Linked DNA regions of Callithrix jacchus. The protein of the gene in region 2 interacts with the protein of the main gene of each other region in a pairwise test. Links are inferred from orthologs where the notes say so. Each region holds a gene or a part of one and is shown on either strand. Other genes may lie near its edges. The genes, in order: ABHD17A, HPGDS and MELTF.

Evidence for each region.
Region 1: the proteins of HPGDS (region 2) and ABHD17A interact in binary tests that used the Homo sapiens proteins (3 or more experiments, as listed by UniProt). The two-hybrid records come from large-scale screens. The link is inferred for Callithrix jacchus from reciprocal best matches to the Homo sapiens genes HPGDS and ABHD17A.
Region 3: the proteins of HPGDS (region 2) and MELTF interact in binary tests that used the Homo sapiens proteins (3 or more experiments, as listed by UniProt). The two-hybrid records come from large-scale screens. The link is inferred for Callithrix jacchus from reciprocal best matches to the Homo sapiens genes HPGDS and MELTF.

What each region holds. Positions count from the first base shown.
Region 1 is NC_133523.1:1,781,823-1,784,963, reverse strand, and holds part of ABHD17A (alpha/beta hydrolase domain-containing protein 17A), read left to right. Parts: intron 1-605; 5' UTR 606-843; coding exon 844-1,175; intron 1,176-2,326; coding exon 2,327-2,521; intron 2,522-3,141. UniProt on the Homo sapiens protein: Hydrolyzes fatty acids from S-acylated cysteine residues in proteins. Has depalmitoylating activity towards NRAS. Has depalmitoylating activity towards DLG4/PSD95. May have depalmitoylating activity towards MAP6.
Region 2 is NC_133504.1:103,242,577-103,247,000, forward strand, and holds the start of HPGDS (hematopoietic prostaglandin D synthase), read left to right. Parts: upstream 1-1,584; 5' UTR 1,585-1,627; intron 1,628-4,424. UniProt on the Homo sapiens protein: Bifunctional enzyme which catalyzes both the conversion of PGH2 to PGD2, a prostaglandin involved in smooth muscle contraction/relaxation and a potent inhibitor of platelet aggregation, and the conjugation of glutathione with a wide range of aryl halides and organic isothiocyanates.
Region 3 is NC_133516.1:25,126,040-25,129,685, reverse strand, and holds part of MELTF (melanotransferrin), read right to left. Parts: intron 1,201-3,646; coding exon 1,013-1,200; intron 300-1,012; coding exon 119-299; intron 1-118. UniProt on the Homo sapiens protein: Involved in iron cellular uptake. Seems to be internalized and then recycled back to the cell membrane. Binds a single atom of iron per subunit. Could also bind zinc.

The DNA.
Region 1 (3,141 bases), on a different chromosome or scaffold from region 2:
GCCCGTGCTCTGGAGCCTGGAATGTGTCCGGCCTTTGTTTCCAGAACGTTTGTTTGTTCTGCTTCCTCTGTCTCCAGAGTCGCAGGCCGGCGGGGCCTGGCCCCTGTGCTCCAGCACGTAGCAGGGCCTGTTCGGGTGCCCCGTGGGTCCCTTCTGTCTGAGCTCTGTCCTTGCCCCGGCCGCCCGACACAGGGGGCACTGGGGGGCAGAGATGGGCCAGGGGTGGGAGTAGGCAGGCAGCAGTGCAGACCGAGTCCTGGGGGCGTGGGGTTTCCCTGGTGCTAGGGCCGGGCATTATGGGGGTGGGTGGGGCTGGGGTCATATCCCCACACGCTGTGGCTGTATTCATATGGCAAAAGGGGGTGGGTGATGGCCAGCTGAGGGAGGGTGGGGGCCTTCATCCCATGGAGAGGGGTTTGAGTTTGGGGGTTCGCCGAGCCGCAGGGCACAGTGCCGGACAGGTTGAGGGAGGGCCGAGGGGATGAGGACGGGCCACACACAGGCCCATGCCGCACCCTCGCCCCTGTGGATGCCCCGCCTCCCAGGGGCACCCAGCTGGACTGAGGCACCTCCAAAGGGCCCCACACACCCGTGTTCCCCTGCAGGGCTTCCCGTGGCACGACATGGAGACCGGTGGTTGCAAGACTCCTGGGGGCTCGGCGTGGACCGCGATGGGGCTGGGCCCTGGCCTCCTAACGGGGCTCTCATCTGGGGCAGTGGCTGGGGGGGCACCCTCCCCCCTGCCCACGACTCGGAGCACCCCCACCCCTTCCCTGCCGGGCCAGGCCGGGCGGCGTTGTTGGCGGGGGCCCCGGAGGAGGCCCGGCCTGGGCGGTGCCCGCCATGAACGGGCTGTCGCTGAGTGAGCTCTGCTGCCTGTTCTGCTGCCCGCCTTGCCCTGGTCGCATCGCTGCCAAGCTCGCCTTCCTGCCGCCAGAGGCCACCTATTCCCTGGTGCCTGAGCCTGAGCCGGGGCCTGGTGGGGCCGGGGCCACCTCATTGGGGACCCTGCGGGCCTCCTCGGGTGCACCGGGGCGCTGGAAGCTGCACCTGACGGAGCGCGCCGACTTCCAGTACAGCCAGCGCGAGCTGGACACCATCGAGGTCTTCCCCACCAAGAGCGCCCGCGGCAACCGCGTCGCCTGCATGTATGTTCGCTGCGTGCCCAGCGCCAGGTGAGCAGTGCGGCCCTACCTGTGCTGGGTCACCCTGTGCTTGGGGCTCCCCATTCCGCCTGGGGTGCTTGGCATTCTTGGTGGCGCCCCAGAGGGCCCGAGCCTGCTGTGAAGGGCTGTCCGGCCGGCATGGGTGGTGTCCCCGGCCAGGCTGGCCTCATCCCTCTGGTGACTTCCTCTTGCATATGAGGACACCAGGCTCAGGGAGGCCCTCCCCAGCTGGCATGGGCAGGCAGTCTGGGCAACTCCAGTGGCCCAGCACCTTGCTGGTTGCTTGCCGGGCGAGAGGTGGGGCAGAGGGGCTATCCTGGCATGTGGGTGCTTCCGCCTTCTCACCCGGCGGAGTTCTGACCAGATCTGAGTCCAAAGGGCGAGCCTTTAGCTTCCGGCCGGGCTGGGCAGGGGCCTGGGGAACTGGAGGGGAGCAGTCCATGGGAGGCCAGCCTGGCCGCCTGCTCCTGGCGTGATCTGGGGCAGCTCCCGGGCCCGGAACAGACAGGCCTCGCAGCACGGCCTCCGGGCTCGGGCACAGTGGTGGGACGGGAGGGGCTGTGCGAGTGTGAGCAGGGATTGGCTGCGTTTGCTTGTTGGGGGCAGGGCTGGGGTCCATTTGTCCCCAACAGTGAGGAGAACATTCTGTGAGGGGGGCAGATAGCTCTGCTGGCAGCCTTGCAGGCTCCCCTGAGAAGGTCCTGAAAGGTGGGCCTGTACGCTCCTCTCCCCCGCCCCCCACCAGTGTCCAGGGTCCTCCAGGGGGAAAGGCTCTGGGGCAGCAAAGCCCCCCAGCAGCTGGGCATACTCGGCGAGTCTGTCCTGAGCAGGTGATGTAACCGATGGTCCCAGTGTCCTGCGTCACACATGGGAATCCTGAGGCTCCCCTGCTGGCCTCTGCATCCCAGGCTGCGTGTCCCCTGCCAGCTCTGCTGTCCTCTCCCCGTGGGGAGCCCTTTGAGATGGAGCTGGGCTGTTGTAGCCTCCCCTCCCTTTTGCGCCCCCCCCCACCCCCCCCCCCCGTGCTCCGGGAGGGGAGTAAACGAGGCACTGGGCGTGGCTGGCCACAGGGTGGGCTGTCAGCAGAGTCCCCCTGCCCTGGAGCTGGGCTTTGGGACGTGGAGATGAGGGCTGTGAGTGGCCTTTTCCGCCTGCTGCAGGTACACGGTCCTCTTCTCGCACGGCAATGCCGTGGACCTGGGCCAGATGAGCAGCTTCTATATTGGCCTGGGCTCCCGCCTCCACTGCAACATCTTCTCCTACGACTATTCCGGCTACGGGGCCAGCTCGGGCAGGCCCTCCGAGAGGAACCTCTATGCCGACATTGATGCCGCCTGGCAGGCCCTGCGCACCAGGTGAGGGCGGCCCCGGGGCAGCTCACCCGAGAGGACGCCAGGATGGGGGCCCGGGGTGGGCTTCCCTGGGAGGAAGGTGGGTGGTGTGGGTGGTCCTGCAGGAGGGGAGCCACCGTGGACACGTGGGGCCAGAGAGCGGGACAGGTGAGCTTGGGAGTGTGGCTGCTGCCTGCACATGGCTGAGGTGGGGCCAGGCGGTCCTCCCACACCCTAGCCTGGGAGCCCCTGGCCTGAGGACTGGAGGGGGCTGAGCTTGTCACGGGCGTGGATGCCACCTGGTGGGAGGGGTAGGTGGTGTCTGGAGGTCTGTGCACGTATGGCTGGGAGCCCACGGGCCAAGGCAGCACTTGGGGTGCAGGTGAGGCTGAGGCTGCTGCGTCCATGTCCTGGGGCCTGGCCCATGAGGCCCCGTGGCGGTGAGCTGGGCCATCCCGGGTGGAGCCTGCAGGCTCCAGCACACACTCAAGGTCTGGCCAGCCTCGACACCAGGCCTGGCCCTTCTGGTCATCGGGGTCCCCAGCCCGCACTGGCTTGGCCCCTTCACGGGTGTCTGAGCACTGGGCCGGTGCTGCTCTGGACACGGAGACCCGGGCGGGCCTCTGGAGGCCTTCTCTGCTTGC
Region 2 (4,424 bases):
GGCATGGAGGCCATGTACACAAGGACAAGGTGTCTCCAGAGCAGCCTCTGTGGATCCGTGACCAAGGATCAAGTGGCGGCTCCTTCCCCAATCCGTGAAGTGTTACTTTGCTTTCCTCTAGCCAAAACAACTGGTTGTAAGGAAGAAAACTGTAATACAAAATGAGACAAATGCTATTTTTTGTATACTTGACTTTTTTTTTTTAACTGAAGCAGTCTCTTATTATATAGAGAGGCAGCATCCTGTAGGGAAAAATATTAAATGTGTCATCAGAAGGCCTAGGTTTTAATTCTAGCTTGTCTCATCAAAAATTCACAGGCAATTTACCTAATTTCCCAAGTTTCAATTTCCTTATTTATAAAAACAGGAATTAAAAATCATTGAGGTGAGGATAAAAAGATTTTTTGAAAATGTAAGTTAGAACTATCAAAGATGATAAATACATTGTGTTAATTTTGTATAGCTCCCACTCCCAACCCATTTGCACTTGATTTTGACACACATGTATCGTTTTTTGGTGATTCAGAGCTACACTTGTGTCTACTCTAACTTTTTACAAACAAGTATTTATATTTATTTTCATTTCTGATGTTTATACCAAGTGGATGTAAACATATTTTTTGAAGTTAAAGTCACTTTAGAAATCAGAAATAAGACGTGATTGAGAGGTTGCTATTGCTGCCTGTGGGAGTAATTTCCTGGAAGTTGAAAGCCTTCTGGTCATTAAAATGTTTCATGAACAATCCTCAGGCTCAGTAAGGCCCAGAGGTCATTTTATTTGATCTTTTCACTGTGCTGTCCTAATATCATAGATGAAATTAATTCCTGCACAAGAAGTGAAAAATAAATTTCTCAAATGTCTAGGCATTTGTTACTAAATTGTAAAAGGATCACAAGCAAGAAGAATTGGAAACTTCTACACCAGGTTTACTTTAAACCCTTTGGCTTTTCTGAGAAATGAGGGTAAATGAAATATACCAGCAGCAATGCAAATTTACAGTCTTTGAAAAGATGTGAACTATAAATTAGGGTCATTCTATCATCAAATGTTTATCAGTGCCCATGACATGGCTGGCACTCCTCTTAGTACTGAGGAGGTAACAGTAAACAAGACAGTGAACTGCCTGCCTTTACAGAGCTTACGTTCCACTAGGGGAAACCAAAAACAAGCAAATGAAATACATGACATTGTTAGACACTCCCTTGAAGGAACATACCGCAGGCACGGGAGAAACTGTTTCTAAAATAGGGAAGCAAGCCATGTGTCCATATGCAAAGATGACTGAATTGCATTCAGGTTGTCTTATTCTCCAAGAGTCTATGGTGTGAAACTAAAAGTAAATGTAACAGTGGGCATACATATGCAGCTATAACTTTGACTTTACCTTTTATGCAAATGAGTTGGGTTATTTACACCCAGATATCCTGTATAACCAGCAGTCTTTGCAGGCTTGAATTGCCTGGCATGCGTGTTTCATCTAAGAAAAGAAAGAAGAGCTTTAGGTGGAAGGAAGTTGCCTGTCCTCTCATTGGCTTGTGATTATCACTTACTCGTCATAAAAACCCAAGGCACAGTCATATACCAAGGGATAGAGGACACTACAGACTCCTGAGAGACACAACACAGGTAAGTAATATTATTGAACTCCGCAGAGATTAGTGACTGAGGAACTCTTTTGTGAGCTATTTTCATGACGGTACTCACTCTGACCTTGTTTACCCAGAGCCTCACCGTATATATGACTCTGTAAAAATCCAATGGTCATTTTTAAGAGAAATTAGGTACAGGAGATTTAAAAAGATCTCTTCAAGTGGATTTTAACATAGAAAATATAATCAATGCTAGAGGAAAAATCCTGTCTTAATCGGGGTTTGTGACTACTGCCAGAATTTTCCCAAGAGATTTTTCAATCTCTTGGATTGATCGAGTAGGGAATTTTATCTCATGGCTCTTCACTTTCTTTCCTTTTCTTTAAAGTTTAAGAATTTTACTTGTAATACTTTCTATTATTTTAAGCCACATTTTGTTGAAGCATCTCCATGTTTTGACAAGAATTGCATCCCATTGTAACCGGTTTTTTTCTTGGGTACTGGTGAGGCACAGCTCACCTGAGAGAATGCTGTGGGTTCTTGGCCTCTAACCTCTTAAAGAATAAGCGATGGGACCACTGCAGGTGTGCCGTATGCTTGTGGAAGTAAATACTGGACCGAAGAAGTGTTGCAGAAAGGTGATTTTATTTAGGCAGAGAAAAGAGAAGGAAAGGAGAAGAGAAAGACTTCCACGAAGAGTGTGGAAGGGGATTCCAGAGGGGAAATCTAGAGGGGAAAGGGAGCTCCCACCGTGTGGGATGGGATTCCAGAGAGCTGGAAATCCGGCATGGGTGAAGGAGCAGGGGAATTTATTCTGGGAGAAACTCCCACCTTCCCAAGTTCCTTAGGCCAATGAAAGGAGTTCCTTACAACTTCCGCTGAAGTGATTGACTCTTAGCTTCCCTTCCCCCCCCGCCCCCCGCGGCCTCGAAATTCAAACATAAACCTTTGAATCTCCCTGATGGAGAGATGGGAGGGGGGCATGGCATTGGGAAATTCTTGCCCTTAAAACTACGCTCCCTCATGTACCCGGAAAGAGAACACAATCCCTTATTCCCTCATCTGAACAGGAAAATTCAACTTTTGTTGGAATAGGGGCATCGATCCTCTTTAACTACTTCGTGCTGAAATGGGTTGTAGAAGGGGCCCTGCAGTTGAGGTTTCCTCCAGAGTGGAGCCCTTTAAGGGTGCAGGTTGATTTACAGATTTATGATAGAGCGGCAGGATTAATTGTGACCTTATGGTTTTATAAGAAATGAATATGACCAGGTGGTTAAAGATGAGAGGTGCAGAGTTATAAACGAGCCTAGGAGAGAACAGAGCCAGGATTTTGAAAGTTTCTAGCCCCTTTTTTGATTGATTCCTGAGTTCTACGTTTAAAATAACACTTAACTGGTTTACAAAAGAGCAGCATTTTTCCTAGAAACAGGTTTCCCTCCTTTTTGTTGTTAGCAGATTTAGGGCCCTTTTTATTTTTTTAAGCTATGGTACCTGAAGAGTTAAGCTGGTTCGTAGAGATAGATGCTTTTTGCAGAGAGAATTAGCAACCTTTCTTTGTTATTAACTTTTGAGATAGCTTATAGTAACTGAATAGAAGTATTAACTTTTCTATACCAGCACCAAGTTTCCAGGGCAGGAGAGAGATACTGAGAAGGCCATGCCAGCGCCCAGGAGAAGACTGGCTTCCTGGACCTTCACGGCTAGCTTTACCTGGGGCTTTCTGAGGGTGATGGCTCCTGCTGGCACTTGTTCCAGGCATCCTTAATCCTGCCATTGGGTTATTTGGTTAGACACCTCAGGCCCAGGGGACCTTGGTTCCCAGGGACAGTGTGCTTTCCGGTGATTCCCTTGGCACAGCAGGTACGGATGAGTTTATATATGTAAGTTTCTATCCAGGGTATTTATTAGTTATTTATTTATGTGTTCTTTGAGAAACGGTATAGGTTAGTCTTCAAAAAGAATTCTAAATGAGCTTTTTTAATCTATCTGCTGAATCAGTAACTTCACATGATTTACTTTGGGGTATAAGGAAGCCAGTGGTTAATTTTAGATGTAAAGATCTTCAAACACAATCAACTTTTTAACTTCATGCTTATCACTTCAGCAAACGTGCAGTTTTCTGTACATGAGATTCCTAACACAGTGACAGTGGACGGGTTCAGAAACAAAGCTAACAGGAAATAAGGGACCAGAACGATATTACAGTTTTGCTGGGGTAATCAAATCATAACCAGATAACCTAGGTGTTACTTCTGTGCGCGATAGAAAGTTGAGGTCTATTTATGCTTATTTTCCCTCTGTTGTCTCAGAACCATTTTAGTCGTTGCTTTATGTCCTCACTCTCTGTCATGTCTGTCCTTTATGTGAGGTTCTGTTTTAACACTCTTGATGCACGTCTGAACAAATATCACATTACAAGGCTTTGTATCTAACTCTTGCTATCTGCTACATCAAGTCTTCCTCTTCTGTTCTCCTTTTCTGTTTGTCTTCGCTGTTTCGGTCCTTCACATTTCCATTTGAAATCTAGGATCCAGTTTATCTGTAGAATCTCTTGAATAATTTTCAGTGATTTGCAATCAATTTGATTGCAAATGGACAGCTCTGTCACTCTCTTCCTACTACTTATAAATGTCATTTATTATTGTCTTTCATTATTGAATTAGCCAGACTGTCCAGCATTATGCTGAATAGCAGATGTTACAGTGGGATTCTTGTTATTCCTCACATTAAAGAAAATGCTTTTATTGGTTCACCATTATATATGATGTTTGCTGTAAGTTTTTAGTAGAGACTCTTTATAGTGTTAAGGAAGTATTCTATTACTCGTTTGCTAA
Region 3 (3,646 bases), on a different chromosome or scaffold from region 2:
AGGCACATCCCAGGCCTCCCGGGTGAGCATCTTCCCCTGGCCACTTTCCTAGAGAGCCTCGCCATGCCTACGGTCAAGCTGGGCTGGAGCGGGCAGCAGTCAGGACAGATGAACTTACGGTTGGGGTCACAGAGCAGACCCTTCATGGCGTGCAGGTACTCGTGGCCCAGCCACGCCTCGTAGGTCTGTGTGGCAATGGGCACAAGCTCAGAGGTGGAGTCCTTGAACATCAAATTCTTCTGGCCATAGGCATCAGAGCTGAACATCTGGAAGCTGCTGCCCTCGTGGCTGAACAGACGCTGTGTGTCAAGGGGTGGGGTATAGGGTGGTGAGGGTGCTGACAGGCCACATCCTTTCCTCCCATTTCAGCCACCACCTCCTTTTCCCCTGACCTCACACTAGGCACCCACTCTGAGGACCAGGGGAGGCCTCTCTCCCTCTTCTGCAGCATCTCCCCCAATCCGCCATCCCCTTCCCCTGGGCCCTGCCAGTTCTGGGTCTGCGCGGAGTTCATTCAGCATCATCACATTCAGCTGTTTGGACACATAACTGTGGCCAGGGGTGGGAGGGCCCTGAGGACATGCCATGGGGCTGGCAATAGCAGCCTGGATGGGGCAAAACTGAGTCCGGGACAGCAGCAGTTAGAAATATATGGCTGTCCTAAGCAGTGGTTTTAGCAAAACCTTATTCACCACATTTAGTTAATGGTGTGCTTTGAAAGGCATTGGTTTTGTCAGTTTTGCTCGTTATGTTCTGGTTTTGGCTCGTAGAGACACAAGTACCAGGAGCTTCCTCTGAGGGTGCCTAAGTCTCTCGGTCCCCCTCTCGTGGCCAGCCCTCCTCCCAGTCAGCCAGAGCAGTTGGTTCCTTACACTGACCTGACCCGAGGCTGGGGTCCATCCCAAGGACAGTCTCTGGGTCCTGCCCCTCCTGGTCCCACCCTGATGAGCAACCACAAGGCCCAGCACCACCTGGGAAGCTGTGCAAGGGGACCAGGGGACCCTGAGCCCACCTGGCCTTCATTGAGCAGCCGGAAGATGAGGCCCCCATCTGTGTCAGCCCGGACTACCACGGCGTGAGCAGGCACCCGGGCCAGGTGGCACTGCCTCCACTCAGTGACGTCGGCCCAGCTGCCATCCCGGCACAGCAGCTTGAAGTCCTGTGACAGCAGGGCCTGGCCCCAGGAGGGCAGTGTCTTCCCTGGGAAGAAGGAAGCCTGGGCTGAGCCAGCTCCTAAAGGGGTTGTGGTGGGTGGCGGGGAAGGCGTAGGACAGGAATTCTGGGGGATGGCTGGGTGTCGTGGACACGAGAACCCAGCACTCAGGAGGTGACAGAGCTCAGCAGCCGCACCCAACTCCAGGTATCTACAAGACTCTATCTCATTCCTCCCATTTTCTAGCTCTCACCAATTTCTATTGCTAAAATGGATTGGAGGTATCTGACAGTAATACAATACTTAGAAATAGGACTATCTCTTCAAGATAAAAAGAGTAAGAAAATAAAGGCTTTGGATGAGAGAGACAAATGTACCAAGAGTCTAGGATGGCTCAAGGCTGCCATGGGGCAGTACCTTTGGCTCTGAGCAGTGGGCACGGGTCAGGGCTCAGGGGGCAGGGGCCATGGTGGAAACGCACCCCGCCAGAAAGGGGAACTCCCTAACTCCAGCTATTCATATTTGGATGGATTTCTTTCAAGTCCTTTTTCTATTTTATTTCCTGTCTTTTGCCCACTTTTAACCTGGTTAAGGACATAGTCGACAGGCAATTCTCATCCTACTTGGTAGAGAATTTTTCCACAGTACTGAAAACTTTCCATAAACTCACTTATTTCTCAACAGAAAAGAAAACTTGAAAGAGTAACTATTAACACCAAATAGGGATTCTGAGAAGATGAATATTAAGGACTATAATTAAACCACAGATGGTCCTACATAACAATATTTTTGTGACTTTAAGACAAGGAGGGAAAAAAACCTCTACATGGAAATAGGCAGGAAAAGATCATTTGTACTGTCACGAAAGCTTTCCCTGCAAAGCTATTATCAAACAAAACCCAAAACCCGCAACGGAGTAATAGTTTGGAAAAACTCCATGAAGGTCATTTTTAATGGCCACATGGTACTTTACAGCACTCTTAATTATTCAGTGCGACTCTCCCCACGCTTCCCAATTTTCCTCTGTTTTTAGGCTGCTGCAAAACAGAGGTTAGATCTCTGGGGTATCATTTGCCTTCACACAGACAAATGCATCATTTAGGTACTTCCATCAGCCACTCCCACTTCTCATCAGCCAAGAACAATGACAATCACTTATGCCAATTCTACTCTTTTGCGCTTATCAATCTTTTTGTATAAAGTTAATTAAAAATTACTTCCTTAGATTTCCTTAGACTACCATCAAAACTTTGAGGCCAGGTGCAGTGGCTCACTTGACAGGACACCATGGCTCCCAGCACTTTGGGAGGTCGAGGTGGGCAGATCATGAGGTCAGAAGTTCAAGACCAGCCTGGCCAACATAGTGAAACCCCGTTTCTACTAAAAGTACAAAAAAACCCCAAAATACCAAAAAACAAAATAGCCAGGCATGGTGGTGGGTGCCTGTAGTCTCAGCTACTTGGGAGGCTAGGCAGGAGAATCGCTTGAACCTGGGAGGCAGAGGTTCAGTGAGCCGAGATCGTGCCACTGCACTCCAGCTTGGGCGACACAGCAAGACTCTGTCTGAAAAATACTACTACTAATAAAAGGCTGGGCGCAGTGGCTCACGCCTGTAATCCCAGCACTTTGGAAGGCTGAGGTGGGTGGATCACAAGGTCAAGAGATCGATACCATCCTGGCCAATATGGTGAAACCCCATCTCTACTAAAAATACAAAAATTAGCTGGACTTGGTGACGCACACCAGCTACTTGGGAGGCTGAGGCAGGAGAATCACTTGAACCTGGGAGGTGGAGGTTGCAGTGAGCACAGATAGCGCCATTGCACTCCAGCCTTGAGACAGAGCGAGACTCTATCTCATTTAAAACAAAAACAACTTTGGGGGTCCAAAGTGGCTCCAGCCGGATGTCGTGGCGCTTGCGAAGGCGAGGTCGTGAGTTCAAGGCTCACACTGATTGGCAAAAAAAGAAAAGAAAAACAACTTTGAAAAAGCTTCCAGATGCATGCCTGTAATCCCAGCTCCTCAGGAGGCTGAGAAGCGAGGATCAATTGAGGCAGGGGGTTTGAGACCAGCCTGGGCAACAAAGTGAGATCCCATCTTAAAAAAAACCCCAAGTTTGAAAAAGCTGATTCATATTCCTATTCTTTTCCCATCTTCCAAATTCTCCTTTGTCTGACTCATCTTGGGGTCTGTGAACAGGGGCCCCTTTTCATAGGACCGCCCAGTAGCACACATCATCCTACATGCTTTGGTGTGTGCAGATTACTTGTTTTCCTCCTCAGATCTGGTCCATGTTTGCCTTCATGATGGACCACGTGATGGACTTTCTGATTTAAAAGGCAATGATCAATAACAGCGAAAAAAGACAATGACTTTTTTGTTTTAAAGCCAATCATCAGACATTCTGGCAGAGGCAAAACTACAGACAGAACAGTCTGTTTGCTGCTTGCTGGCAGGTGGCGGGGTTTTAACGAACAGGGGTCTGAGGAACTT